4 linked regions of the Schizosaccharomyces pombe genome follow. The protein of the gene in region 3 purifies or fractionates together with the protein of the main gene of each other region. This does not show direct contact. Each region holds a gene or a part of one and is shown on either strand. Other genes may lie near its edges.

Region 1 (9,877 bases), 3.6 Mb from region 3:
TTTGTAAGAAGTTCAATGCCTGGATGAATCAATTTACCTTCTTCATGATACTTTTTAATAATTGTCCTAGTCAGCTGAGTATCATTAGGTAATAAGATTTGGTCTTTACTGTTAATTAGTAAGCCATCTTTGAGTTGGATATTCTCTTCCACTCGTTTGTCTTCATTGTTTAGTAAATTCAACAATTTTGTATCATTCGTATATTCTGTAACCACTTGGTTTTTAAAATCATCGGTTATCGAGATTTGATTAACAAAGTTGATACTATTGTCTTCTGAATCTTTTGGAATTGGTTCTGTTTCGTCAACAATTCTGGATAAGGCATCAGCTATGTGATTTGCTGATCCAGGTCTGTAGTTAATTTCAAAGTTGAAGTCTTGTAAAAATAATTGCCAACGAGCTAAACGTTTGTTTTCAGGCTCGGATTCGTTAGTAATGCGACCAATTAAGTTTCGATGGTCTGTTAAAATTTTGAAAGGTTCGATAGTGGATTCTAAATAGTGTCTCCAATGTTTGAGAGACTTAATGATTGCAAGCATTTCTTTGTCCGATACGCTATAATTTAATTGTGCTTTAGACATCTTTGCTGAATAGTATCCAACAGGATAGTATTTATCATCATCATGTTTTTGAGACAATACGGCTCCTACAGCGACATCTGAAGCATCAGTTTCCAGTAGAATCTTTTTACTGAAATCAAAGTGTCGTAGCACCGGAGGAGAAACTAAACATTGTTTAATGTTTTCTATCGCTTGGGTTTGTGTTGGTGTCCATTTCCAGCGTACATCCTTTTTCAAAAGATTATTGAGTGGATGTGTTAATTGTGATGTCTTTGGAATGAATTTCCTAAGATAATTGACAGAACCTAGAAATTGTCGTAATTCTTTACGATTCTTAGGTTGCTTCCATTGTAAGACTTTGTCTATATTTTCTTGACAAGGCGTAAATCCTTTTTCCGAAATGTGATACCCTATAAATTTTACTTGTGATTGGTGAAATTCACATTTTGCTTGATTGATAATTAAGTTCGCATTTTTCAATTTCTGTAGAACGTCTTTAACATGTTTTACATGTTCAGATTCCGATTTTGAATGAATTAAAATATCATCCATATAACATACTACATGTGATTCTTTGGCTTCACCAAGTATTGTATTGATAAAGTATTGAAAATGTGCTGGAGCTGTAGATATGCCATAAGGCATTACTAGATATTCAAAAACTCCACGAGGACAGCGAAAAGCAAGTTTATGTTCATCTCCTTTTCTTACTCGTATCAAGTGATAGGCACTTTTGAGGTCAAGTTTAGTAAAAATTGTAGAACCTTGTATTTTAGCAAGTAATTGTTCAATAAGTGGTAACGGATATATATTGGGTTTGACATACTTATTTAAAGGTTTGTAGTCAACCACCATTCTCAAGGTGCCTTCCTTTTTCGGAACGAACATTACTGGACAGGCGTTAATGGCTTTAGATTCTCGTATAATTCCACTTTTTAATCCTTGATTAATTTCATCATTCATAGCTTGCATTTTTCCCGGTGGTAGCGGGTAATTTCTGATAGGTAATCTGTAGTTTTCTTGAGTTAGTTCAACTTCAAATTCTAACCCTTTTATTGGCTTTGGTAGCTTTTCCGTATTGGTTTCTGCAGTAATGTCTTTGAATTCTTTATAGATATCTGGTAACTCAGGTTCCTTGACAATATTTGAAACTTTGTTCATTTGAGAGAGCGTGTGTTTACTGCTAGATATTTCAATGTTATTGTCATATAATGTTGTGAAGGAGATAGCAGCTGGATGCGAAAATTTCTTTACAACCAAGAATTCTGTTTTGATTGATATTCCATTTAGACTTATGTTAAGTTTTATTGTTTTGCGATTAATCTTATTTGGATAAACTCCACCATATATCACACTTTTTGACCAGGGTCTGGTAGGCAGTTTATGTGCTCGAACAGTTTCTTCTGTTATAATATTTGCTTGAGCGCCCGTATCGATTAGACAGGGTATTGAGCACTTGAAGTCTGGAAGTTCAGCTTGTAATACCATTTCGTAACGTTTCCTAGTATGATTTAGGAATTTGTTAGATGAGTATTCTATTCTCGAAACATTTGTCTTCCTCAGGTTTCTGCTATTAGTGGTGTTATTTTTCTTTGAAAGGGACTCTTTTCCTAGATTTTTATTTTGCAGTTGAAAACGCTTGTGAGTTTTACCATACGAGGCTGTTCTTTTGTCCTCTAAAAAGTCATAAATTTCACTGATTTCTGATTTCCAGTAATTTCTTTCCTTTAATTTCCTTAAGGAATATGGCAGCATCCATAATATAAACAAGCGAGTATGGAAATCATCAACATTTGCTTTTGACATGAGTTTCCTTATAAATTGAACTTTGTCCAATTGATTTCTAAAACCTTCAAATGTTTTAGTTAAACGATCACCTTTGTTGGATCCTTGTACTTTCCCTGTTTGTCTGAGTAATTCTTGCCATGTAAGACTTCCATTCTCAGAAAACATGCGTTCAGCGAATTGTTGCTCTAATTCTTCTAGGTGATTCAATGTATACTGTCTTTTAGTATGCTCATTTGGGAATAATGAAGGGTATTCAGTAAAGTGTTGATCAAGTTTTGAAATGTAACTTTCAACATCCTTATTAGGATCGAATTTCCCTATCTCTGGTACATGCTTCGATAATATTTTTGCAAAAAGGTTTATTAAATGTTCGTCTGATGTTTGAATTCCATCCAAATTCTCTGGTCTCCATCGTTTTGCTCTTGCTTTCATATAACGATAATTTGCGTAGGACATTGTATATGTTTCCCTTTGGGAGATTTCAAAAGGGATAACAGTCCTTCCAAAGTTCTTTCTCCTTTGAACCCAGAAGGAGAGAAATATATATATTTATGATATATATTTATTCAATAATTCCTTTTTCCTAAAAGGAGTTAATTGTAGATCACAAGAGTTCAGTTATTGTAAGCTACGCAGTTTGGTATCTGATTTAAGGATACGTAGAACTGCGGTGAGCTTTCCTTGTGATCTATTATATTACAATACACAGGTTGTATAAGTAGCAACTGAGTATAGGTATTGTATTAACTGGGTTATAATGTTACCTATCACTAATATAGCTCATAACTGAACTGAGGAACGAGGTTCAGCAGTAGCTCTATTTATAGTATTCAGATAATATTGATCTTAATAGATTATCATTAAGATCAATCTCCATATCGTATCATACATGGTACGATATATAATTAGAACATGTGACATATAGTGATACTCAACGTAGTGTATTATAGCGTAGTGTAGTATTGCTGACAGAAATGAACACTTCTAATACCTCGAAGTAGACGAAAATTGAAAATTCAGTTTATCCTCCGCCACTCACAATCATGTCGAGTGCACATCCTAAAGGGGACTCGAAAGAGCCTCCCAAACATGGAAATAGTAAGGAGAAGCCAAACTATGGTCAATCACAGTATAGTTATTCTGCAATGTCAAATTTGGTTACGCAGGCTGATCGAAGATTTGTGTCACGACGTGATGCTGAACCTACAGGCGAACCGGAATCTCTGGTAAATCGAGTTAGTATTGCAGATATGGGTTCTAGAGCGAGAATTGAAAAACCTAGTACCCTTCCTCTCGAATTGACGCAGGAAGTTCAGGAGGTCCGGTTACCTCGTAAAGATGCAGAATCCTTAGAAATTGGTATACGGCAACCTGAACGCGAAAAGCGCTCTTCAGCGATACTTAAATATTTTGATTCTTTTGAAATTTTGAAATATAATCCTCTAACCGACGAGACCCGAGAAGTTTATGATTATATCTTGAGTTTCATTCAACAATACCTTGGCGATCAGTCTCCTGAAATCCTCCGTTCTGCTGCTGATTTGATTATTGAACTTCTTAAGGATAGTTCTTTAGATGAACAAGGTCGTAAAAAGCAAATAGAGGAGGTTTTGAGTACTGAACTCCCACAGGATCGGTTTTCACAGCTCGTTAACTTGGGAAATCGCTTAACAGATTATACAGTTGAGCAAGAAGAAGAGTTAAATGAAGAAGGCGTTAATGAATCTGGCGTACCAGTATTGTTCAATGAAGCCGATGAAGAGGAAGAAGCTGTTGAGGCAATGGAAGAGGATGAAGTGGCAGAAGATGAAGACGTCGTCTTAGAAACTTCCATATCTCAAGAAGAAGAGAAAAAGAATATTGAAAATCCGGATACAGAGGTTACATTTATTTCTGCTGATACCAAAAAAGTTACCGAAATACCCACTGTTCATCCTCGTGAAATCGATGCATTTTGGCTGCAACGAGAAATAGCAAAATATTTTGCTGACGCCGTCGTTTGTCAGGAAAAAACAAATCAAGCGTTTGAGGCACTTTCGGCTGATTACGATCTCGGTGAATTGGAAAATGAATTGATGAGTATTTTTGATTATGAACATTTCTATCTTGTTCAACTTTTGACTAAGAATCGTTGGACAATAGTTTCGTGTACAATGTTAAAACGCGCCGCTACTGATGAAGAACGCTTAGGTGTGGAAGAGCAAATTCGTGCTGCTGGTCGGTCTTGGATTCTCGAAGCTCTACGCCCTGGTGCTATCACTATACCTGATGACGGTTTAAATGAATTAAATAATAATGTTGTTGAGAAAGCTGAACCTGCGCCCGTTTCTGAAATTCCACTTTCGAAAACTTTGACTTCCCATAAAATTGTACCTAAGCACCAAGTTGATCTAGAAAATTATGTGTTTACTGAGGGATCACGTCTCATGTCTAATAAAGCTGTCAAGCTACCTGAAGGCTCGTTTCGTAGGACTGGTAAAGGGTATGAAGAAATACATGTTCCTGCCCCCAACAAAGCCGTACTTGGCGCTGACGAGCGTCTTGTAAAAATCAAGGAACTGCCTGAATGGTCTCATCAAGCTTTTCTTAATACTCAATCTTTAAACCGAATCCAAAGCCATCTTTATCCTATCGCTTTTGGTACTGACGAAAACATCCTTTTATGCGCTCCTACTGGTGCTGGAAAAACAAATGTAGCAATGCTATGTATCCTTAACGAATTACAAAAACATTTACGTGAAGATCTTAGCTTTAACTTACAAAATTTTAAAATTGTTTACATTGCTCCCTTGAAGGCGTTGGTACAAGAGATGGTTAATAATTTCTCAAAGAGGCTTACTCCATACAATATTCGAGTCGCAGAGTTAACTGGTGATAGTCAATTGACTAAACAACAAATTAGTGAAACTCAAATAATTGTAACCACACCCGAGAAGTGGGATATTATAACTCGAAAAGCTAATGATTTATCTTATGTCAATCTAGTCCGTTTAGTTATTATTGATGAGGTTCATTTGCTTCATGATGAACGAGGTCCTGTATTAGAATCTATAGTTGCTCGTATATTTCGCCATCAGGAGGAAACTCTTGAACAAGTTCGATTAGTAGGTTTGTCTGCTACACTTCCTAATTATACCGATGTTGCCAGTTTTTTACATGTCGACCCTAAAAAAGGGCTTTTTTACTTCGATTCGACATATCGTCCATGCCCTTTAAAGCAAGAATTTATAGGCATTACAGAAAAAACACCGTTTAAACGAATGCAGACGACTAATGAAGCTTGTTATGAAAAAGTTATGCAACACGCTGGCAAAAACCAGGTCCTCATATTTGTACATTCGCGCAAAGAAACCGCTAAAACCGCTCGTTTTATAAGAGATAAGGCACTAGAGGAAGAGACCATCGGTCATTTGTTACGCTCTGATGCCGCATCCCGTGAAATTCTTCGGGCTGAAGCCGACTCTACCAGTGATGAAAATTTGAAAGATTTGCTCCCATATGGGTTTGCCATACATCATGCTGGTATGCGACGAGAGGATCGCCAAACGTCTGAAGACCTTTTTGCCGATGGTACTATACAGGTACTAGTGAGTACGGCAACTCTGGCTTGGGGCGTAAACTTACCAGCGCACACAGTGATCATCAAAGGGACCCAAGTTTATTCTCCTGAAAAGGGTATCTGGACAGAACTCTCTCCTCAGGATGTTTTGCAAATGCTTGGCAGAGCTGGTCGCCCACAATTCGACACATATGGTGAAGGAATTATCATTACCGCCCACTCTGAGTTACAGTATTATCTATCACTAATGAATCAGCAGCTTCCAATTGAGTCTCAATTTATGCGCCGTCTAGCTGATTGTTTAAATGCCGAAGTATCGTTAGGAACTGTTCGTAGTATCGAAGATGGCGTAGACTGGCTTGGTTATACATACCTCTATGTTCGAATGTTACGATCCCCTGCCCTATATAGCGTCGGCCCAGAGTATGATGATGACAAATATCTTGTTCAAAAAAGAGCTGACTTACTTCATTCAGCTGCCATTTTATTAGAAAAATGCAAGTTACTAGTGTATAATCGTCAGAGTGGTACGTTGACCGCTACGGAATTGGGAAAAGTTGCTGCAAGTTATTACGTTACTCATAACTCGATGGCCATATATAATCGTCTTTTAATGCAGACAACATCCTTTATCGAGTTATTTCGAGTCTTCAGTTTTTCTGATGAATTTAAGCACATTCCTGTCCGTGAAGAAGAGAAAGTTGAACTCGCGAAGTTGCTGGAAAGAGTACCAATTCCTATTAGGGAAAGATTAGATGAACCTGCTGCCAAGATTAATGCCCTTCTCCAATCATATATATCAAGACAACGCCTGGATGGATTTGCACTTGTGGCAGACATGGTATACGTTACGCAATCAGCGGGTAGAATTATGCGTGCAATATTCGAGATATCATTGAGACGTGGTTGGTCATCTGTTGCAACACTCTCTCTTGATACATGCAAAATGATTGAGAAAAGGCTTTGGCCAACTATGAGCCCCCTTCGACAGTTTCCCAATTGTCCTTCTGAAGTAATACGCCGCGTTGAGAAAAAGGAATTTCCTTGGCAGCGATACTTTGATCTGGACCCTGCTGAATTAGGAGAATTAGTAGGGGTGCCAAAAGAAGGGAGGCGTGTGTACAACATGGTTCAGTCTTTTCCAAGGTTGAGCGTCGAAGCACATGTTCAACCTATCACAAGATCGCTTGTGCGGGTCGAACTTGTTATAAATTCTCAGTTCAACTGGGATGATCATTTAAGCGGCACTTCTGAAGCTTTTTGGATCCTTGTAGAAGACGTGGACGGGGACCGATTGCTACATTATGAACAATTTTTCCTTCTTAAAAAATACAAAGATGATGAGCATATTGTAAATTTTACAGTACCTTTGTTAGAACCTCTTCCTCCTTGTTACTTTATAAAGATAGTTTCAGATCGATGGTTACACTCGATAACTAAGGTACCTCTTTCATTTCAGCGCCTGATAATGCCAGAAAAATTTCCTGCGCCAACACCTCTTCTTGATCTTCAGAACGCCCCGGTCTCTAGTCTTAATAACCCAAGCTTCATTTCCCTCTACCCTAATTTTAAATTTTTTAACAAGATTCAAACACAGGTGTTTAACTCTGTTTATAAAACCAACGATAGTGTTTTTATTGGTGCTCCCAATGGAAGTGGAAAGACTGTTTGTGCCGAACTTGCTTTGTTACATCATTGGAGTCAAGAAGATTATGGTACTGCAGTTTACATTGCCCCAATTCAGGAAATCGTTGATCGTCGATATGAAGAATGGTATGGCAAGTTTTCTGACCTCGGTGATGGGAAAGTTTTGGTAAAATTGACGGGTGAGCGTTCACAAGACTTGAAGCTGATACAAGTTGCTGACTTGATATTTTGCACGCCATCGCAATGGGACTCATTGTCGAAGAGATGGAGAAGTATGCGAAGCATTCAGAAAGTTGATTTTTATATATGTGATGAATTACAATTGCTTGGTGGATTTTATGGTCCATTATACGAAATAGTGATCTCACGGATACGGTACATGGCAGTACAATTAGAAAAAAATATCCGAGTGGTTGGCCTTTCAGTATCTGTTGCTAATGCTCGAGATTTGGGTGAGTGGCTTGGGACTAGTCCACAATGCATATTTAATTTTAGTCCTAAAGACAGGCCTAATCCTCTTACTATTCATTTGCAATCATTCAGTATTACTCATTTCCCTTCCCTTATGTTGGCTATGAGCAAGCCTATATATCGCAGCTTGAAGAACTTTATTTCTCAGAGAAAGTCTACTATTGTATTTACTCCTGACAGGAAAGTAGCGAAACAATTAGCTTTTGATTTAGTTACATTCAGTATGGCTGATGAAGATGAGTATTTGTTTTCGTTAATGGAGAATGAAGCTTTCAATAAAGTTGAAGATGCTGCCTTGCAGCAATCATTGAAGCATGGTATTGCTTATATTAGTGAAATCACATCGTCCAATGATCAGAATATTGTACAATATCTTTACCGTCATGGACTTATCAAGGTTTTGATAGCTTCTCGCGATGTTATTTATTCCTTAAAAGCAAAATCAAACGCTGTTATTGTGATGGGTACTCAATACTATGATGGCAAAGAACATCGTTATATTGATTATCCTATAAGTGAGTTATTACAAATGCTCGGGTTTACTGCTAGCATTGGATCAAGTGAGCTTAGCCAGGTTATTCTTATGACTGTCACTACTAAGAAGGAATATTACAAGAAATTTTTAAATGAGCCATTACCCATGGAAAGCCATCTTCAAGTTTGGCTGCACGATGCTTTCGTGTCAGAAATATCTACGCAAACCATTGAAAGCAAACAAGATGCTGTAGATTGGCTTACATGGTCGTATATGTACCGGAGACTAGTTGCCAATCCTGCCTATTATGGTCTTCAAGATATCACTCATGAGTCGGTTTCTGAATTCCTTTCGGATCTTGTAGAAACAACCATGAATGATTTGAGTGAGGCACGCTTAATCACTGTAGACGATGAGGATGATAGTTGTGTCGCATTAAATTTAGCAATGATAGCTTCTCATTACGGAATTACATACATTACTATGCAAACGTTTGCTTTGAGCTTGTCAGAGCGCACGAAGATGAAGGGATTACTAGAAATTGTTACATCAGCAGCAGAATATGAGCAACTCCCAATTCGAAAGTATGAAGATATTGTGCTGGAGCGAATTCATTCCCGCCTGCCTGTTCGCTTAAGTAATCCTAACTATGAAGATCCTCATACGAAATCATTTATTCTTCTTGCAGCTCATTTTTCTAGATTTGAATTGCCTCCTGGTTTAGTTATAGATCAGAAATTCATTTTGACTAGGGTACATAATCTTCTGGGCGCTTGTGTTGATACATTGTCTTCCGAAGGCCATTTAATAGCTTGTATTAGACCAATGGAGATGTCGCAAATGGTTACGCAAGCTTTATGGGATCGTGATAGTCCTTTAAAACAGATACCCTATTTCGACGACGCTTTAATCGAACGATGCAATAAAGAGGGTGTTCATGATGTCTTTGATATTATCGATTTGGATGACGAAAAACGTACTGAATTGTTACATATGGATAATGCACATCTTGCCAAATGCGCAGAGTTTATCAATAAATATCCGGATATTGACATTGATTTTGAAATAGAAGACTCTGAAGATGTTCACGCTAATTCACCCTCTGTGCTTATTGTTCAACTAACTCGAGAACTGGAAGAGGATGAAGAAGTTGATACGACTGTCATTGCTCCTTACTTTCCAGCTCAAAAAACTGAACATTGGTGGCTTGTAATTTCGGATGACAAAACCCTCTTGGCAATTAAGAAGATTACCTTAGGTAGGTCCTTGACTACCAAGATGGAATTTGTGCCCCCGGCAATGGGAACTTTAAAATATAAACTGAGCTGCTTTAGCGATTCTTATATGGGTGTGGATTATGAAAAAGAATTTGAATGC
Region 2 (6,651 bases), 4.5 Mb from region 3:
GACGAATCGGATCTTTCTGGGGATCCCTTTTGGGCTATACAGCCCAAACAATCTTCCTCCCAAGTACCTAAAGAAAATCATCACAACATTCAATCCAAACTTTCCATTAACACAGAGGCTGCTACGGATTTGAAAGCAAATGAACTATCTTCGCCTAAAACTCCTGAATACTGTAGAGGTGATGACAGATCCATTAGTTTATCACCGTTATCTTATCGTTTAAGAAAGTCCAAACATATTCGTGAATCCCCACCGTCTTCAAAGGTTATCAATTCTGGTAACTGGGAAGTTCGTCCATCTGCTGATGATCTTTATGAGGATGTTGATCGATTTTTTCCCCGTTATGATTTGGATAAAGTACTTGTAGTGGACCAAAGCCGCATGGTTTCTTCCCCTTCAAAGGTATCGATACGTCCGAAAATGAAGTCTGTACGATTATTAGCCCGCGAAGCATCTGAAGCTCGGAAAGAAATACGACATAACGCGAGACGCAATAAATCTGGAAATCTTCTACGTCGATCAAGTACGAAACTTTGGGGCTCTAGGATTGTAGAACTAAAACCAGATACTACTATAACTTCTGGATCAGTTGTTTCACAAAATGCCACGTTCAAATGGATGAAAGGAGAATTGATTGGAAATGGTACTTATGGTAAGGTATTTTTGGCTATGAACATTAATACGGGTGAATTGATTGCAGTAAAGCAAGTTGAAATACCACAAACTATTAATGGCCGTCATGACCAATTACGCAAAGATATCGTGGATTCCATTAATGCAGAAATTTCTATGATTGCCGATTTGGATCACTTAAATATAGTGCAATATCTGGGTTTCGAAAAGACGGAAACGGATATAAGTATATTCCTGGAATATGTTTCAGGTGGTTCAATTGGTCGATGTTTGCGGAATTATGGTCCTTTCGAAGAGCAACTGGTCCGTTTTGTATCACGCCAGGTGCTCTACGGGTTGTCTTACTTACATTCTAAAGGTATTATACATCGAGATTTAAAGGCTGACAATTTGCTCATTGATTTTGATGGAGTTTGCAAAATTTCAGACTTTGGAATATCTAAGCATAGTGATAATGTGTATGACAATGACGCAAACCTGTCCATGCAAGGATCCATCTTTTGGATGGCACCTGAAGTAATTCATAATGATCATCAAGGATATAGTGCTAAGGTCGACGTCTGGTCCTTGGGATGTGTAGTGTTGGAAATGTTAGCTGGTCGTAGACCGTGGTCTACAGATGAGGCTATCCAAGCTATGTTCAAGTTAGGTACCGAGAAAAAGGCGCCTCCTATTCCTAGTGAATTGGTGTCTCAGGTATCACCCGAAGCGATTCAATTTTTGAATGCATGCTTTACTGTGAATGCTGATGTAAGGCCAACCGCAGAGGAATTATTAAATCACCCGTTTATGAAATGTGACGAAGAATTCAACTTTAAGGACACGAATCTTTACGACATGCTTTGTAAAAGAAAGAGCTAAATTGGTCGCAATTATTATTTATTACTTAGCGTTTCCTCGCAGGGGCATGCATTCTCAATTTCTTCTTATAGCTATTTATTTAATATTGAAATTAATTTTGAAAATTATTACATTATTATACAAACAAACATACATGATCATTTTCAATTTCTACAATGTATTTAAAAGTAAATTTTCATTTTGTCAAAATTGTTTCGTTTATTTAAAATTAAAACTGATATTAATAAGATGTACTCTTCCCGTCTGAAACCTTCCTTTTTTTGAGTTCCCTAGTATTTCGCTTTGGTAAACTTACCTTGTTAAGAGGATTAAAACCCCGTTTCCCAAATTTATTTTTTCCTACATCAGAGTCTAAGTCAGCAATAAAATTCTTTTGATTTTTATAATCAAAAGGTGCTTCATTGATAATTGGACTGTCATTAGAAACATGTTCGGCTTCAATAGTAAGTTTTCCGCTGTTCTTCTTTTTCTTCTTTTGCTTCCGTTTTTTTGACACTGAAGTTGAAGCTTCCGAAGGTTCAATATCTTCATTTCGCTCCTCTATGGGGTTTGAGGGTTCTTTATGATTAAGCTTAGAAGAATCCCTTTTTTGCTTGTTCAGCCCTAAATCCCTAATGACTATAGGCTCTTGTTTCTTCTCTCCATTCAGACTCGGGTTTGCAGCTTCAGTTACAGTGGACTGCTTTACATTCAATTCGGATTCAACATGCCCTTGAGTACAAGGAAGAGTTAATGAAAAAGGAATATTCTGGTTCACTATAAAGAGTCTCTCTTTACGAGCTTTCCGTAAATCATCTTGCGACTGTCCCTCAATCCAAAACGCAGATCCATTTGCCAGCAAAGTCTTTAGTTTACTTCTATTTTGTTTAGAAATCTCGAAAACACTGGAGTCAACTTTGTAATCACCCAAAGTATTCGATTCGGAAAAAACTGCTAGCGGTTGATTTTGCTTCTCAACTTCTTTAAATTGGGATTTCTCACGATCTACTTGCTCATTATACAACTTTTCGGCTTCTTGAACGACTTTAACGATATCTTCAACATACATGCGAGCAATTGGTGTCAATTGCTTAGAAATTGAAAACACATCAGCCGCTTCAACCGGTTTACTGGCGGCAATCGCAATAAGTAAACGATTTGGCAACACATAGCGAACACTTTCATCTTCTTTTCGGGCTACGGAATCTCTCCAATCGTGCAGTGCTCGATAAATCATCAAAGCTTCCCGTCCAATTATTTTAGAAGAGCCAAACTTAGTAAGTACATTTCTCCAGCCATCAGTACCAAGTCCATAAATAGGATCATAAGGCTCAAGTTCATACTTTCTAAGAGATATTTGTTTACTGGAATTGAACACTGATTGCATAAGATTTTCTTTTCTTTCAGCTGATTTTGATATGAGTTCATTTCGTAAATGATCCCAAATATATAACAAATAATGCGTATCAGATTGAGCATATTTTAACATTTCCCGAGGCAAAGGACGGATTCTCCAATCAGCCATTTGGTATCTTTTATCTGCATCATAATCACAATACTTTTGTAACAGAAAAGCCAGACCATGACCCTCAAATCCTAAAACTTTAGTAGCATAGTATGTATCAAATAAGTTTACAACGTAAAGCCCGAAATCTCTTTGCAGCCAAATGATATCCATAGTTGCACCATGAAAAACTTTAATGATATTTGGATTAGTAAAAACAACATTCAAAGCTTCAAGCTCTTCGCGGAGTTCCAAGGTGTCAACAATCCAATCTTTTTCTCTATTACTAATTTGCATTAGACAGACGAACCCTCTAAATGATCTGTAATCATGGTGTTCAAGATCAACGGCTATTTCTTTGCTGTTTTGTAATTCTTTTAGCATATCCGATAACTGACTTTCAGTACTAACCCAGATAGGTTCTGTTTCGTCGACAGAGCCAGTATCGATGGGATTAGACATTTCTGAAACCCATGGAGGATATACGCTATTTTGTATTTCTGGTTCATATGGATGTGGTAACGAGTTTTTGAGACTAGGGTCCAATTTGACTTGAGCGATAATCTTTTCGAGCGGTACTAACGAATGTGGTTTTTCAGTTAACTTCCAAGACCACACAAACTCCCTGGAATTATTAGGCTGTACTCGAAACCTTAATTGAGGCTTAGTAAGATGAGCTGCGTGAATAACCTTGTAGGGCAACTTTTCTTTCTTTGGTTTTTTATTGGCAACATCGCTTGTCGACGCATGGGTTTCGATCGCTGGCTTTTTTAAAAGTCCTTGAGCTTTATCGATAGAATAGTCCTATATTCATACGTCTTAGTTAAATAAAATCCGTTTACAATTTCAAAAATTCACTTACAGCTTTTTCAAAGAGTATGTCTAATGTGTCCGATACTTCTGCCCATCTATTATCTATATCTTCAACGTCCACAATATCCTCCGCCCGACTTCTGTCTACTTTAGAAAGAAGCAATTCAATTAATCTCATAAAACGAGAAGAAACACTTTTTATGTTTTCATTGAATTCGGTATCAATTGATTTATAAAACGGTATATCAACCTTTGCCAATTCAGAGCAATAGGCTGTACTATTCATTAAACCCTTAAACAATTCTGACTCATCCATTATGCTATTGTTTACCCTACTGGATCAGTAAGGTTTTTGGTTTGGTTCAGGAATTTTCAAGCACTTTTACCACACGCTCAACGAATTACCGAACTTGAATATAGACATCGTTAAAGTACGAAATACAAGAGCTATTTTTATATATATAAAATATTTTACACAAATGCAAAATCTTAGCAGAATTATGTAAAAGCAATTATTTATGATTAGTTCAAAATTGTGAAACTATTAGCAGGCAACTATAGAGAGGTCTTTTATAATATAGGCATTCAATTTTGATCAAAAAGTAAAAAAATAATCAAAGTAGATGAATTACAAATTTAAAAACTTCGGATAATCTAGAATGGATGAAACAATCAAATCAGTTGGATCATCGAGCGTCCTTTTTTGGAAAATTAATGAACGATATATGTATTGAGACCTTCTATAAGGATTAAGAATTGTAACAGCAACCATCCCATGATGTTGATGATGGATCAACACATGACTTTCGAAATAAAATATTTATATATGCTTCGATCTATATACGATAATTTCGTCGAATAGTAAACCGTAAGTAGAAGGAAGTACCTGAGATGCTGAGTAAAAATAGAACGAAGACCTTTAAGAACTAAAACGCAGAACAAAGTTGAAAGATCGGCAAAAACTCTACACACTATTACTCTTATCAAAGGACAAACCACATTCATCTATTCTAGCAATTAAATCCCGTTCGGAGAAAGAAGTCTAATTTTTGTTCATCCACTGTTCTTCATGCCATGGACCGGCGTCAGATAGTTCGCAGCCACCTGGACATTGGCAGTTTCCACCGAGTTTAGCAGGAAGATTATCAGCAGGGATTTGTTCGAGCAGAGCACTCTTATAGTTTGAGCCTAAAATATGAATTTTTTTGACAGTTGCCTCATCCAAAAAACCTTTGATAAGATTAAAGGCAGAAGAGAATCCCCAAGGAGCGTTAATTACATAAAACTTGCCCATCCTTTCGGGGTAATAATCTTGACTCTTTAACGTGTTAATACTTGAAAAAAAAAAAAAAGAACAAAAATTTCAACATTTTCAACTTACAATGCTTGATGCTTGACGAATGTAGCTGTAAACCGAGTGAATACTAGTAATACCAACACCCTTTAGATCCATGATTGTGCACGAAGTTTCAATCAAGCCTCCTGCTTTACGAGAACAAGCGGGCTGAAGACGGTTAATAAAGATGAAAAGAAATATCAAAATGAAAAAATATATCACAAAAAATTCAACACAGTAGAAAACCAAAAGTTTTTCTATTAAAAAGCCGAAAAACCAGCCTTATATGGAATATGCAAATCCAAAGGAAAGGTTTGATTATGAGAATTACTGGAGATACATTTAATCATTTGAATTTACTTACAAACCGTTTTAAAGCAAGCATTTCATATTCATAAACCAAATTTTGCATCATACGCTCGGGAGTCGTGATTTGGTACAACTTCTTCAAATCAATGTTACCGAGTTGCTCAACGTATACCGGACGGCCGTCGATGTCAGTTTTATGATAAAATTGAGGGTAATATTTGGAAACGGCTTCTTTCTCATCATAATGAAAGTTTTTGATAAGATCATCAACACCAAATTCTTTTCTCCACTTTTCGCATTTAATAAACATTTCCAGCGACTGTTGCAAATTAAATTTACGGGCTCTCAAAAAACGCAACTAAGAATCCATTAGTACAAACACAAAGTTTCCTGCTGTACAACTTACTAAAGTGGCATCGTCTAATCTTTCCGTGTATCCAAGTTTTTGTAACTCTAAACGCATGCTATCTAGCGTAGCTTGCTGTGTAGAATTCAAATGCCCTGGGTGCCCTAATGGAGCATTTGGATTAGTTAGAGGATAAGGATCCGATATAGTTTCTGACATCTTTTTGTTTAGACGATGGTTGTAGAGAGAAGACCTAATGACCCAGTCTGTACAAGATGTATAAAGGAAAAGGAAGAACGTCAGCGACCTTAATACTAGTGGTCATCAGCCGTGGGGGATCAGTCAAGCGTGGGGGCCTTTTACCTACTACCGCAGGAACCTTTGTTGCCATGCTACACCCAACGCTATTGTTATATGTGAGTATGAGGATAAACTTCAGTGTTAAAAATCAGATGAGAGGAAGAAGCTCCTCGTATGAGGTTTAAATTGTGTATAACCAATTTTTCAACTTGCATGAAAAGTGCGACAAATTTGAGATGCAGAATGGCCTTCAACGAGGCGTTGAAGGTAAATAAAACATGGGGAAAAAGTGACAATTTAACTTTGTGGAAGCATTTTTTCTTTACCAAAAAAAACGAACGATAGATAATGTTTATTTTATTTAAGCCTTTGAGTGCGCTTGTGGTGATTTTCTGTCATCAATATTTATGCACCTGACAGCTTTGAAAGAGTAAACCAGGCACTAAGAAGCGTTATAGTACATAGAGTATAGAATATGTAAATGGATGATCATATTGCGATTTTGAGATTGTTGTCTATGTAAAAACGGTATAGGAGTATCGTAGCTGGATATTTATGTGAAGTAAAACA
Region 3 (7,351 bases):
ACAAGTATGGTATATCACTTGGTAAAAAAAAATGCCTTCTGGATTCACCGTTATAATTTTGTCTTATACCGCTTATTAAAATTGATTCCCTTACCACCAACAATTCGTTTTACAGTTCAATTTGTATTGTTCCCCTATCCTCTCAGCTTGATGATTACAAATATTTGCTCAAAGTGGATGCTTTAATTTAAATTTTCATGGTAGTTCCTACTCCATTTTACGTTTTACGTGGTCATTCTAGCAGTGTCACTAGTGTACTTTTTGACGCTAATGAATACTTATATTCTGGTGATGAGGCAGGTTTTGTAATTTGTTGGTGTCTTACTAGTATGCGACCAAAATGCGCCTGGAGAGCTCATACAAAAACCATATTGGGCATGCAAATAGTCAAGGGAGGAGCCTTATGCACTCACGGTAGAGACTGTCGTCTCGTCACTTGGAAAATCGATTTTAATTGCATGACCGACAATTTTATGTCATTATCAAAACTAGCTGAACTTCAAAATTACGGTCCTGAAGCCTCTTCTGAAACTGAGAAGAGCAGCGCATTTATATCTATTCATTCCAATATCGTTGTTAATTCCCTAACCTTTTGCCCCTTCTCTTACTCTCCTCAATCTAAAATAGTAGTTTTATGCAATACATTGAACTTTGAAGAGCTTGATGTATATGATGATGAATCATTGTATCATCCTCAAACACACAAAGAGGATTGCGGAAAAAGACTACAGACGAGAATTCAGCCAGAAGAGTCTGTTGGTAAAACAGGATCAGTAATGTCAACCTCAGTAACCGTTACTGACGAGAAGTATGTACTATTAGCTGCCGGTTACGAAAGCGGTCATGTGGTTCAGTACATATGTTCATTAGAAAATGTAAAGACTGTTACCCTCGATTTTAAAGCTGTTTGGAAGATGGTTTACGCCTACAAAAGTCATTCTCAACCAGTTTTATCGGTAGAGTACGCTGGTTCCAAATTATTTTCAACGGGTGCTGATGACTGTATATGTCTGCATCCTACTCCTTCATCTATAGCTGATGATCTTGGTAGTCTGCCTCATCCTATATTTAGAAAGACAAAGCATTGTGGACAACAAAATATTCGTATACGAAGTGATAACAAGATATTAGCAACTGCAGGATGGGATGGTCGAGGTCGTGTTTACAGCTGCCAGACATTAGCTCCTTTAGCGGTTTTGAAATATCACTCCGATGGTATTAATAGTTTGGCCTTTCATCCAGGCAGCAACGTGATTGCGTTAGCTAGTAAAGACACCAGAATATCTCTCTGGAAGTTGTATTAGGGCAAAAGTTTAGGACATTACAGTTACGTTTAATCCATCATCATTTTCAAGAAATCATTTACTTTTGGTTTGCAGGATTCAATTCATTCTTATTACAATACGCGCATTTTTATCAATAACCATTGAAATGATTTTAAACGTATTACATATATTAAATATATTAAATATCAGACTAGTAAATGCTTAATCTTCCAGTATTTTGATATCGCCTCAAATAAGATGAGCGATTCATATGCAAGCATAGAAAGTACGAAAGACATAATTCTAACCTGAGCTATATTAAGTAGTGACATTAGTTTTATAACGGCAAAGAGCCATTGTTTATGTATAGTGATGTTTATAGTACAAGGACGTAATTTTGACGGTCAAAATTTTTACAGTTAGTTTGATGTTGCTTGGCAGTTTCAATCTAAATGGAAACCTTTGCAACAGGAATTGTCATTCTCTCCGACTTCCAAAGATTATGATATTCGACGATTCGAGTAGCAACATCGACGAAATCGGTGTTCTCATCGGTATTTTTCATGACTATATCTAAACCGGATTTATAAGACTCTTTCTCAATTTCATCATTTCCTTCGATGTACCTTGATAAATCTTGTATAATTTCATCATCTGTATAAAGGTTAGTCAAAAATCAACAGCACAAATACCATAACCCGTCATTTTAATGTCGCGAAAATGCGACGCCTCGCAATGGTCATCATTACAAACACCACCAGTGGTTTCGTATTTACAGAAAACTTTCATCGGCTCTATCTTATTGCTGTAGGTAAGCGACCGATATTTCAACGGTACTCGCTCAACAAATTGTTGATTAAATCGATAAGATTTAAAGCGGTAAAATGGAGAGATATAATCGACAAGCGGTACCTTATCCTCAAAATCTGTTTCCGTCGTCCCATTTGGCGCGTTTGACGTTTTGGAAGACAAAATCTGTGATGAGTTCTCATCTGCTTGGGCGGAAACCTCGGTTATTGAGTCCATACTTAAATCAGATTCTTTAGGTAAACATGCAACATTTCCTTTCCCTTGTTGTTCGAGTAACTGTTTTTTCCTAGTGTACAATTGTGTTAGAATCTCAGTTTTTGATTTCACCAAAGTTTGATATTTTGTTAGTTCTCCTTCCTCTTTTTCTATTAAGTTATTTAAAATGTCAATCTCGGATTTTTTAATCTGTGCGGGATGCTCTTCATGTACCACAGCAATTTGTTCCGTCTTTCTGAGCCAAGGTGCCTCTAATATCTGCTCAGTTGTATCAGAATTCGTAGTTGCAGCACTAGACGAGGCTCCTGACGAGCTAATAGAAGGTCCAGCCTCCACAAAATCGGCTTTGGAACTAAGATCAACGACTTTTTCAAAGGTATCCAAGTGTGTTTTAGATTTGTTGTCAACCGCAGCTACAGGGACAGATGGAAGTTTCATATCGGCGGCAGAAGTTGGCGATCTATACGGTTTTTTATTAGACTCAAGCCGTAAGATCAACTTTGTCATTCGCCGTATTTCCTCTTCTTTATTGCGAAGAAGCGCCAAGTAATCTGAACGAGACATAGTAAGACCATTTTCACTATTTGAGGGGGGCTTTTCTAAATTAGATTGTTCTATCTTCGAATTCGAAAAGTCATCTCCATCATCATCGGAATCAAATTCAATAACTACATTTGGAGTCGAGGAGCCAAAAGGCTTCGAAGAAGATAGCCAATCGTCCTGCTTCAAAAGTGGTAAAGATATAAGATTTTTTCTTTCAGGAAGGACGGTAGGTGTACCATTATCGCCAGGTAATATATGTGTGTCACTAAGATTACTGTCAATCTTACGAAGTTTAGCAGACCTAGCAGCTTTGTCTGCAGATAGTGTCAGACTTCCTTGGGAGCTAGCAGAAGAGGAATCCAGTCCGAGCTTTAAAAATAAAGTATGAACAACCGAAGGCTCGATGCCCTCAGCAATAAAATCGTTAAAGCGCACTCCTACTTCAAACAACTGACTCACAGCTTTCTCTGCTTCCTTTTGATTAGTAGTCTTGGAATAATTTGCATCAGAATTTTTAGATGTTGAAAGAAAAGGTGATTTTTCTGATTTTGCCTTTTCACTCTTTTGATAAGAAGTGTCGGATGATAAAGCCAATGGTCGGCTAGTAGCGGTATCTTTAAGAGCCCGGTTTTCTTTAAATGACTGGGAAGTATTAGAAGAATCCGATGTTTCAGAAGACTTCGCCTTATTTCGGTTGTTGAATGAATTCTCAGATGACCGTTTGCGCTTCGAAAAGGTTTTGTTTGAGGAGGCGGTTTGAGGAAAGAAAGGAACTGTATTTGGTCCAAACATCAAAGCTGGAGGAAGCATAAAAGGTGCGCCAAATGGAAAAAAATTCGCGTTAGTTCCAGGAAATCTAGTGTGTTAGTTAGATAAGACACCTGATGGGTTGAATGTATTCAAGTTCGAAAAAAAAAAAGGAAATTTTACAAATTGTCATTCTCGTAATCCCAAAGTTGGAGTTAAACCGTACAGAACAGCATAACTAGCGGAGAATAGCTCCGTAGAAAAGATAAATAAGCTGCACTGACAGGTTTAATCAAATGCCATGCTTACCTATCAAAAGGAGGCAACTGAGGAATTTGCTCAGGAAAGGTTGGTACTTTCATTGGCGGAACTAAACTGTTAAAAAAACGAATTCATTTAAACGGTGAGAAAATTGAAAAGATGGATATCAAAACATAATTTCCAAATACATATAAAAGGCTTCTGCCAGCTTTATTTTTCTCTCTTTAAAAAAAAAAAAGCCACGCATATAAATAGAGATATGAAATGTTCTAAACGAATGCAAGCAATCGTCGAGGAAAACTCAATAAAATGCGAACAAGCCTATAAAAACAAAAAGTCTCGTTTCACAATATATTTGTGTAAATTTCCATCTCTAATCTACCTTACCTGAATTTGATTGATCTATAACAGGATCGTCTTCGCTAATTTCGCCATCTTCTTTGTCAGAGTCATTACTCTCATCTTCTTCATTCTTCTTTTTTGATTCTAAAGCCTTTTTTCGCAACTCATCGAGATTTATTGACCGGGACATTTATTTACAGCTAAAACTGGGTTAGTAGTGCCAAATTTCAACAGCAGATGTTTTGTTTGTAGTACCAGTTAAGACAGTGAAACGCGAAAAACATTAAATATTATTGCACATAAAGTTTTTTCACCTCAGAGCATGTTATTCCCTAATAAAGATATTGATGGTTGAATACTTTCTTATTTGTTCTAATGAACTGTCTGAAATATGCACTAAGACTCTTTATTTACAAAACATTCGGAATTAGTCTATTGAACAGGTATACTGAATGTAGCAAATATATTTTCAAACAATTTTAAAAAGTAACACAAGAACAGCTAATATGTTCAGCCTTATTGGCTTGCTCATACGAAAAGTGTAGCGGTGATTCAAAGCTTTCGCATCCAATTATCTTTTGCTAGTTTACAGCACAAATTTACGCGAAGGTGAAATAACATTTTTGAGTTATCAAATTATAGCGGGAAATCTGCTTTTAATGGACTAGTCAGTAATTTAGTAGCGGCCGCCTTGTCTCATAAATAGAAACATAGAACATCTGGAGAAGTTCAAGAAAAATAGCGAAAATGAGAAAACTGTGTTTTAAACCTTTGTCCAATAATGATAATGTTTTCTACTAGCATATCCTTCTATGAGCACATGAGAAAAAGAAATATTCTTTCGCTCAGTTCGGTTTTAACGTTGGAACAGTCTTTGGCCTTTATTAAAAACTTGAAGTTCATAAACTAAAAACAACAAAAACATTGTGCTTTATGCAAATTTCGTGTGCAATAAAAGTTCGGGTATCCGTTTATGATGTTTTAGCACGAAAGCCGACTATTGACAGTAACACTGGTAATAGCTCTTTTTACTAAAAACCCTCATCGAAAAGGTAGTTCCGTATCTGATTACAAGGCCGATCGTGCAAAAATACTAAAGACCGAGGAATATGTAATCGTGCAGTTTTATAACATACTCTTCCGTTGCTTAAGTTATTAATCTGAATTTAGTCTGTTTAATCCGTTACATGAAAAATTTAGCCTTTCAGGAGCTTGAAGAAATGATTTAAGATCAAAACGCTTTCATGTAATCACCTAACAAAAATGCTAGATTTTGTTATTATTTATTATTGAAATTCCCCCATAAACCTCGAAATTTTAAGACCGGTCAAGTTATCATTTGAGGCTAACAGGCGGCCTTCAAGCATTTAAAACGAAAGACCGTATTCATAGATTATTTATTGGTAATCTCAATGAGGCTAGTACCTTTGATCTGTTACTACTTGCGAACATACTATTTGTCTCCAAATGTTTGCTGTAGTGTATGCTCGCGCTCCCTCAATCGTTCAGAAAGTTCAAAGCAATGCAATTTCAATTCAGAGTTTACTTTTTCCAATTTTCGAACTCGCTTTGTTTCTCTCATCAACTGCTCTTGAAAAACTGACCGCAGTGACTTTTCGGATTTTGCGTTCTTACCTGGCATAAACTCCTCACAAGGAATTTGTTTTTCTTCTAAGAAGATTTCCTTGTAAGCTTCAAGTTCTAAAATAACTTTTTCAAGATCTTCTTGCTTCATCTGAAGTTCATTTGCTAACATGCGTTTGGATTCGGCCAAATAAGTATACGCATTTTCCAATGAATCGTATACCATCCCCTCCTTGAAGTGCAGTTCAGGTACTACAGCATTATTCTGTAAGTCAATGTTCAATGACTCATCCTTTTGGACAACAATATTTCTCACGTCAACATTTTCTCCCAATAATTTTCTGTTTTTATCCATATCGCGCAGAGCTATGTCTGACATCTCTTTAAATACGGAAACTTTCTCACCAGATGGGGACTTAGTGATTGAGATTTTTGTGTTGTTGGAAATAGAAGATGAATCATTAAAGCTTTTGACTAATTTACTAACCCTTCCTGAGATAGAAGTATTATTTTCGCTTTCTTGCCCTAGTTGCTCAAAGTCTGAACAAGAAGGTGATCTGCAATCAGTATTTACACCGATAAGCTTATCTTCAAGTAACGACTGAAGAGTAATTTTATAATTCCTTAACTCGATTTCCTTCGTTTGGTATTCTTGATCCTTTTGTACAAACTTTTTTGTTATATAAGTCAGCTCATCAGAAAGTGTATGTTCATCAAGATCTTCAAGCTTTGTAGATGGATTAATTCCAGCTTGAGAGCATACGTTTTTGTAAACAATGAACAAAAGATTAAATATTGAAATTCCTTTTCGTACACTTTCGGAAATTTGGGATTCGGTAGCATTAGATGAATCACTTTTAGCGAACGATGGCTCGACAAGCTGTAAAAAAGAATAGAGGTGCTCTTTTTTATTAATAAATGATTGATAAGAGTTTAACAAACTGGCTAATTTGGATTCACTTAACTCCAATTGCTGCTTCAATATCTCATTCTCCTTATTCGCGGTTTCCAGGTGTGCTCTACCTTCAGAAAGTTTGGAGTTTACTGAATTTAACTCTGCATTCTTTTCAGAAATCTCACACTGTAAACTATTGTTAGTTTGACTTAAAGTCTCCAAACTGTCATGGAGCTTCTCAATAGTTAGCTCTTGATCCCTGATTTGGCTTTTTAAAAATGCAGAGCGCCCGATTTCATCGTCAAGATTTCCCTTAGTGTTTTTTAAATCCTTCTGTAATCCATCCCGTTCATCAGTCAAACTAAAGACCGTGTCAAATTGAGAGAGTTGCTCATCCTTTAGGCATTTCATTTCTTCATCAAGTCTCAAAACCTTACTTGATTCCACTTCAAGATTGTTCTTTAATTCATTAAGTTCTTCCATAAGATATTCATTTTTTCGAAATACATTCTCCATATCCTTTATTGACGACTGTATTTGTTCTTGATAAAGTAGATCCCTTTGTTCACTAACAGAAGACTGAAACTCCAATAAGCCTGCTTTTTCTCTAAGACTTTCGGAAAGTCTTGAAATTTTTAATTCTTTTGCTCGAAAATCATCATCATAATGACTAATTAATGCCTCCTTG
Region 4 (6,773 bases), 1.8 Mb from region 3:
GAAGTCTTCTTACCTTTCAAGTATTGCATGTAGTGACGCTGTACAGTACCATGAGCAGCCTCACTCTCAAAAGTGCGACCGTTGGGATGAATGAGGACAGAAGTCATTAGGCCTAAGGATCCATAAGCTTGGGCAACCACATCCGACATAACATCACCATCGTAATTTTTGCATGCCCAAACAAAACCACCATTGGACTTAATAGCTTGGGCTACCATGTCATCAATTAGACGATGTTGATACCATAAACCTAGTTCCTCAAACTTTTGCTTGTAATCAGATTCATATACTTCTTGGAATGTATCCTTAAATCTACCATCATATTTTTTCAAAATTGTATTCTTAGTGGAAAGATAAAGTGGCATTTTCTTTTGCAAAGCCATTTGGAAAGAACTGTGAGCAAATCCACGAATAGAGTCGTCAGTGTTGTACATAGACATAGCTACACCACTACCGTTGAACTCGTAAACATTGTATGTTTCTTTAGCAGAAGGATTACCTTTAGGGGTGAATGAAAGTTCCAACTTACCGGGGCCTGAAGCTACCAAGTCCGTTGACTTGTATTGATCTCCAAAGGCATGACGCCCGATACAAATAGGGTTCGTCCATCCAGGAATATACTTGGGAATGTTTTTGATTAAAATGGGCTCCCGAAATACTGTACCATTCAAAATGTTACGAATGGTACCATTGGGAGACTTCCACATCTTCTTGAGGTTATACTCTTTCACACGAGCCTCATCAGGAGTAATGGTGGCACATTTGATACCGACATCATTTTTGAGGATAGCTTTGGCTGCATCCACAGTAATTTGGTCGTTTGTCTTATCGCGAGCTTCGATTCCAAGGTCATAATAATCCAATTTAATGTCCATATATGGGAGAACCAACTTTTCACGAATGATCTTCCAAATCACTCTCGTCATCTCATCACCATCCATTTCAACGACTGGGTTTTTAACAGTGATCTTTTGAAAAGATTTGCTTGAAGCCATACGCATATTCATGAAACCACGGCCTGCGGCAGCCAACTTGAAAGGTGCCTTTACGGCAGCACGTACTTCCAACATATTGTGTCAGTTTTTTTATCCTTTAAAGTAAATGAAATATTCGACGAAGCTAAGTTGAGAAGGAGTAGCTGTGCAAATGTCCCTTAAATCCTAGTTCTATCCACCAAACTGCCTCTGTTCCTCACTACTTCTTACAATAGCACAAAGTGGTTGGTTAAGTGTAAGTTACTGATGGCAGTAGTGATTTTGTTACATTTTAGCAATCCTTTCGTTAAACTGAGAAAAGATTTAGTCACTTCTGATATCGGAGATGTGAGTGAACATTTCGCTTATCCATTCGCTCACATAGTATGACACTACGCAAAACTAGAACCGACAAGTCGATCGTAAAATATCTTATCTTTAGATATCCGTTACCTCTGATAGATCTGATAACCCTGTTACCTATAAAATTGAAATCTTCGTTTCTAGTAACTTAACTGTGAAGTGCAGCAGCGTCCTACAAGTGCTTATGAAAATGGGACGTTATAATTAAATATTTAATATAAGCTATATCCACGTTCAAACGTTGTAGCAGATTGACAACGTCGTGATTACCAGTCGAGTTCTTCAGTTTAATCTTTTTGATATCAAAACAACACTTTCTTCATTTTTGTTATAGACTACTTTCTTTATTTTTCCTCATTAGTTGCATCAGCTGCTGTTTGATTATTTTCTGATGGCTGCTCATCTACTGCGTCGACGGGTTGCATTTTTGTGTCTTCCTGTTCCTCACTGGTATTTTCTTGAACAGGCTCGTTTGCTTCTTCTATCGTGTCCTTTTTAACAGAGAGGAAATTTGATTCCACATATTTTAACATAAGGTTAAGCCAATGAGATACCCATATATTTTCAGCATTTTCGGAAATAAGGGCGCGCAAAGCTGACAATAGTAAATTCGTGACAATTTCCTTTTCCTCATTCGCTTCATTGATTAGCGAAGAGTCTTCTTTGTTAGAAACCGAACGCCGCAATCTAGCTGCTAATTTATTAAAAGTGGTGTTAACAAGTGACCACGTATAACTACGAGACCATATAGTCACGTCTTGCTTGATCAACCACTCAATAATAGAGGTAATACTAATTATAGAGTAGTTCAGCATTTTATCTAGCCACATAACTGCGTTGAACGGTTGTAATTTCCAAAATGAAAAAAGTTCATCAACAACCTCTATTTCGGAATCTAATGATTTTCGAGAAAAATGTTTCAATGTATTAAGATGTTTCTCGAACACGTTCAATGCGTGCGAAAACGATCTCGAACCCAAGCTATAAGCACAAGACATAACTAATCGGACAGCAGATGTCTCGGAGTTTTGAATCTCCTCGCTCTGCAAAATAATGTCAAGTTCTTCTAACGGTTTATGTAATCTCAATGCTTCGATAATTTGACTTGACTGTTGATATAGCGGATGAGTCTCATTTTCGTACACGAAATTGGGACCCGACGGTTGTTCGCCAAGCAAACAACGTAACTCTTCAGGGAGTGAGTCAGAAATTCTTGTGTAATAGCTTAAAATAAGTTCCCTAGTAATAGTTTCCCGCATAAAAACTTTTTTTGGATGAAGATCGTCCAGCTCAACGTCAGGAATCCACTCATTCCACTTCCAGTGAAAGTTGAAATTACTAAGGTGATGTGAAAACCAGTCAATAAATCGATCAAGTGTTTGTAAAGGTAAATCAGAAGACATGGTATACATTAGCCGAATGACCCTTCCAAAAGTTGGAGCCAAAATTTTAGGAGCGATACGGCAGCATTCAATCAAAAGCGAATGATAATAGACAGGTTTATACGTAGTATTCTGTGAACCAAGAAGCTCACCCAAAACAGCTTCAACTATGATATCTTCTGCTTTCCAACGTGATTCCGATGGATCTAAATTTGGTAATTCATTTACTGGAGTACCACGAAGAGCAAAAGTTTTGTAGGTAAAATAAACATCTAAATCTGTAAGAACTTGAGCAGCCTCAACTCGGTTAAATTCCAAATGGTTTATAACATCCACACTTATATCACGAAATATGCTGGCTGCAACGTCGGAAGCGTCAGGAGTCGTGCGAATTTCAAAGTTATTAAAAAGCTCAAAAAATCTCTTGAAGGAAGGTAGCTCATTTTGCTGAGGAGTGGGCTGAAACGTCCATTCAGGAATACTTGGGCTAACCGGAACAATATGAACGAAATCAGATTCAAAAAACTTCCAGGGTTGAGATATATAAGGAAAAGTAAAGTCGTTTTCCCGAGATAGAATTAGTTGTTTATAGAGTAAGTCCAATTCCTCCTCTGAAAGATTGTCATGTATTGAAAGGGGATTACTTAGAGTTATCGAAGATTTCCTATGACGAACGTAAATCTCACATTGATCCAGTATCTCATTAGCAAAATCCTTTTTACCGAGATCGTTGTTAGCTGCGATGAAATATGGAAGGTTTATCAAAATTATGCGCAGGAAATTATCTCCCCAGACACTGGGTTTGGTTTCTTTTGAGATAGCGTCAGCCAGTAATGAAAATAGTGGCTTAAGGGTACCTGGTTGAAGTGCAAATGACATGCAAATGAGCATTCGTAGATCGACTTTAGCCTCGTAATAAAGAAAGGAGTTTAAATTCGTAAAATACTGTAAACAAAAATACGCAGCTGCTTTTTCTAAGATTAAAGGAACCCTTAATGAGGCTCTTATAATTAATGTAGCCAAATGAGGTATTTTGACTGGAATGATAAATGCACTAAGGATTAAATTAGTTTTCTGAAGGGACAGTATAAATTATCACTTACGTTGTCTGAATGCAATCTAAGATAGTTGAAATGGTTTCAGGATCATTAGCTTCACGACTAAGAGACATAGCAACATAATTAATGTCATCAGCAGCTACTGAATTTCCTCGAGGATCCGCCAAAAAGGTAATATCCTTTTTTATACGCGCTGCAAGTAGCTCTTGAGAGTTTCCTCTATGGGGACGAAATCCATAATTCTCTCCCTCTCTCGTCCTCTTTCTGGGTCGAGTTGATCCCCGATAAGAAGACATTTTGTGAGGAATGTTAGTGTCTTACTGTTGTTGGCGTATAGCAGAATTGTAAAAACACGAGCAAGTGTTCTCAAGTAACAATCAACTTAGAGGTAACGAATGGTATACTAAGTCGAGATGGAAATTGTAAAACAAAAAAAAAGAAAATCGATTTTCCAATGCGATAAAAACGAAAACCTTAATAAATATGATTAGAAAATTTTACAACACTGTAATATTCTATTTCGGTAAAGGAATAAGCATCCATTCTGCTTCTATATTTTCACCTTTCAGTGAATGAGTCCTTCGTTTTTTTTGACAAACAATTAAAACAAAAATTAGAGGATATAATTTGAAATCCTCATTCACCGAGATTTAAGTGAAAAGGATCTGTGTTTATGCTTGTTTTTTCCTTGCCAAGGAGCATTTCTGCCATACATAAACCCGTGGCAGGAGCTTGAGTTATCCCCCAGTTGGCGTGACCCGCTGCAACAAATACACCAGACTTGGTTGTTGATATTATCGGGATACCTGTTATTCTACTGGTAGGAAGGAACTTAAAAGATGCGTCTAAGTAGTTACTCTTCGTATTCTCCGAGAGCACCAAATCGGTCATTTCTTTCAATTCGATAATTTCAAAAGGATTAAAAAAACATCGATTACTATCTTTTGGCAGCAAATGGAATTTTGGAGTTCCCATAAAAATAAGCTGCTCCCGGTTTTTACTGAAAATTTCGGTTGTTTTGCAAATGTTTAGATTACCCATGGTATTTAAACAACACACAACAATGCTGTCGCCAACGGGAAAATTTCCTACCGATAGGTGAATTATGGGAATGCATAGACCTGCAATACCAGTAAATGGTAATAGATAACCAGTCCAAGGCCCAGCACTCACCAGCGTTTTATGCACCTGTGCTTTTATTATTGTATCTTCAGCTTCTTGTTTTGGAACGTATGTAATATGGTGTTTACTAACCTCTTTCACACTTCCAAATATAAACTTTACTCCTCGTTTTTCTATTTCTTTTGCCATAAATTGACAAAACAATTTTGGATTGATCATTGCAAAATCGTTGCCGGAACCGATACTAGAACCTAAATGGTTAGTCTCTATATGACTTATACAATAAAGTTATTATTTTTTTTTGGTAGCACTTATGAGCTTACATTTTTGCATGCGCTCTCGTTGAAGCCATTGCAAAGTATCGGGAACTTTGGCAACATTGGTATTGTCCCATTTCATCTTACAAAACCAAGAATTGGCAGTCCTATATTCCCAGTTTTTCTTCCCATCAAATTTTTTATCCAATCCTTCATAAAGCTTCAAAGCGAGAGTTGAAAGTGGCTGTATGATTTCATTCTGGCACAGTTTTGTCAAGATTGCAGAATCAATGCCGGAGCTACCTCCTGCTATTTCTTTTGATTCAAATATAAATATGTCCAATTCTCCTTTTTTGTATTCTTGTTCTTCTGTTAAGTAAAACGCCGTACAAATTCCAATAATGCCACCTAAAAATCATCGTCAGCATGCTCACTCATCATTTATGAAACTGTTGTTCTCCAAAATTACCTCCTACTATTCCTATCTTTGTCTTATTTCCTTCTCTACTTGTAGCGCTCATATTTGAAGTTGGAAAGTTGACTTGAAACACAATCATCTTGCTGTAACGCTTCTAAACATTACGTTATCCTCACCAGTATTTCCTTCAATCTCTCTTATTTTTTTACCATTTTGAGAATAAAATAAATAGCAATAATAATAATAACAAAACGGTTCAATATTCAACAGTTTTTGCCATTCAGAATGCCTTTCATAAATTGCTATGGCGAGATATACGATTCTTTCATGAATACCAAACGATTGTAAAAAAGGAAAAAAATTACAAAATACTCCTCCTAATCTATAAAGTCAAGTTCGCATAAACAAACGGATTTTTAAATTTTTGAAATGCCAGATTCACATTCTTCAGATAGTTTACATATTATTTACACATGCCTTAATTAAAATTACTGCAACCAGTTCATTGAGTTGTAATTATATTTTGATTCCAAATAATCTACTGAAAACAGCTGTACAGCTGTATATGCAGAATGGTATTTCCAAAGCATAACAAATATTAGACATTTCACAACAATGATAATTGTTAAGCGATATCATCTTGAAAAGTTTATTTTACCGACTTATGATCGACAATCAACAGAAATATGCAAAATAAATTAGTGATGGTATGGATGTAATCCGTTAAATGGTATTCAAGCACTTTGTTCTCAGTACGTGCTCCAAAACATTACATTGCTGGAGATGCTATGGAATTTGATTTTTTTTCGTTTGTTGCTCCTTCCAGAGTTCAATCATTAGTCCTTCCTTTTGGTCGTGTTAGAAGAAAAAGTTTCTCGTCCTACCTACAATTACTCCGCAGAGTAAGTCATATTCAGTTGAGTGATGTCCCTGTAGCTACTGCTACTAGAAAATGTATGTTTCTTATTTTTATGATTATTGACTAATCTTAATAGCGAGTTCTTTCAATCCTTTGGCTTTTCCGTTGGGCAGATTGGTGTACAATTTCCTAACCAGCCTTGATGATCAACAAGCTCTACTAGAAGAATTTGAATATTTTCGGCGCGTTTTCGTTCTTATTGGTATTGTAGATGGGTCAGAGGAACAAGAAGTTGAGCAATTATGTTCTACCTTGGATGTTTGGCGGAGAAGGATACCTC

What was found.
Region 1: the proteins of red1 (region 3) and brr2 purify together in Schizosaccharomyces pombe (affinity purification with mass spectrometry, with the first as the bait; 2 studies listed by BioGRID). This does not show direct contact.
Region 2: the proteins of red1 (region 3) and rrp6 purify together in Schizosaccharomyces pombe (affinity purification with western blotting; 2 studies listed by BioGRID, with this or other methods). This does not show direct contact.
Region 4: the proteins of red1 (region 3) and cbc1 purify together in Schizosaccharomyces pombe (affinity purification with mass spectrometry; 2 studies listed by BioGRID). This does not show direct contact.

The regions. Positions count from the first base shown.
Region 1 is NC_003424.3:1,458,774-1,468,650, reverse strand, and holds the start of brr2 (U5 snRNP complex subunit Brr2), read left to right. Parts: upstream 1-3,371; 5' UTR 3,372-3,391; coding exon 3,392-9,877. Other genes in the region: Tf2-1 (retrotransposable element/transposon Tf2-type), read right to left, coding at 1-2,804. UniProt on the Schizosaccharomyces pombe protein: Involved in pre-mRNA splicing. May be involved in endoplasmic reticulum-associated protein degradation (ERAD) and required for growth at low and high temperatures. Required for pre-spliceosome formation, which is the first step of pre-mRNA splicing.
Region 2 is NC_003424.3:608,341-614,991, reverse strand, and holds rrp6 (exosome 3'-5' exoribonuclease subunit Rrp6), read right to left. Parts: upstream 4,145-6,651; 5' UTR 4,107-4,144; coding exon 3,840-4,106; exon of another isoform or gene 3,782-3,839; coding exon 1,715-3,781; 3' UTR 1,654-1,714; downstream 1-1,653. Other genes in the region: MEK kinase (MEKK) Mkh1, read left to right, coding at 1-1,494; spo20 (sec14 cytosolic factor family, phospholipid-intermembrane transfer protein Spo20/Sec14), read right to left, coding at 4,833-5,108, 5,172-5,294, 5,491-5,793, 5,842-6,000.
Region 3 is NC_003424.3:5,069,499-5,076,849, forward strand, and holds red1 (protein Red1), read right to left. Parts: upstream 4,401-7,351; 5' UTR 4,375-4,400; coding exon 4,230-4,374; exon of another isoform or gene 3,952-4,229; coding exon 3,891-3,951; intron 3,691-3,890; coding exon 1,964-3,690; intron 1,920-1,963; coding exon 1,714-1,919; 3' UTR 1,433-1,713; downstream 1-1,432. Other genes in the region: ASTRA-associated protein 1 Asa1, read left to right, coding at 198-1,304; protein mcp3, read right to left, coding at 5,638-7,351. UniProt on the Schizosaccharomyces pombe protein: Promotes the exosome-mediated degradation of mRNAs containing a DSR (determinant of selective removal) signal sequence from mitotic cells.
Region 4 is NC_003424.3:3,225,833-3,232,605, reverse strand, and holds cbc1 (nuclear cap-binding complex large subunit), read right to left. Parts: upstream 4,097-6,773; 5' UTR 4,074-4,096; coding exon 3,823-4,073; exon of another isoform or gene 3,774-3,822; coding exon 1,682-3,773; 3' UTR 1,208-1,681; downstream 1-1,207. Other genes in the region: isocitrate dehydrogenase Idp1, read right to left, coding at 1-1,070; tda3 (FAD-dependent amino acid oxidase), read right to left, coding at 4,414-5,150, 5,223-5,564, 5,626-5,677; TRAPP complex subunit Trs120, read left to right, coding at 6,363-6,528, 6,570-6,773. UniProt on the Schizosaccharomyces pombe protein: Component of the CBC complex, which binds cotranscriptionally to the 5'-cap of pre-mRNAs and is involved in maturation, export and degradation of nuclear mRNAs.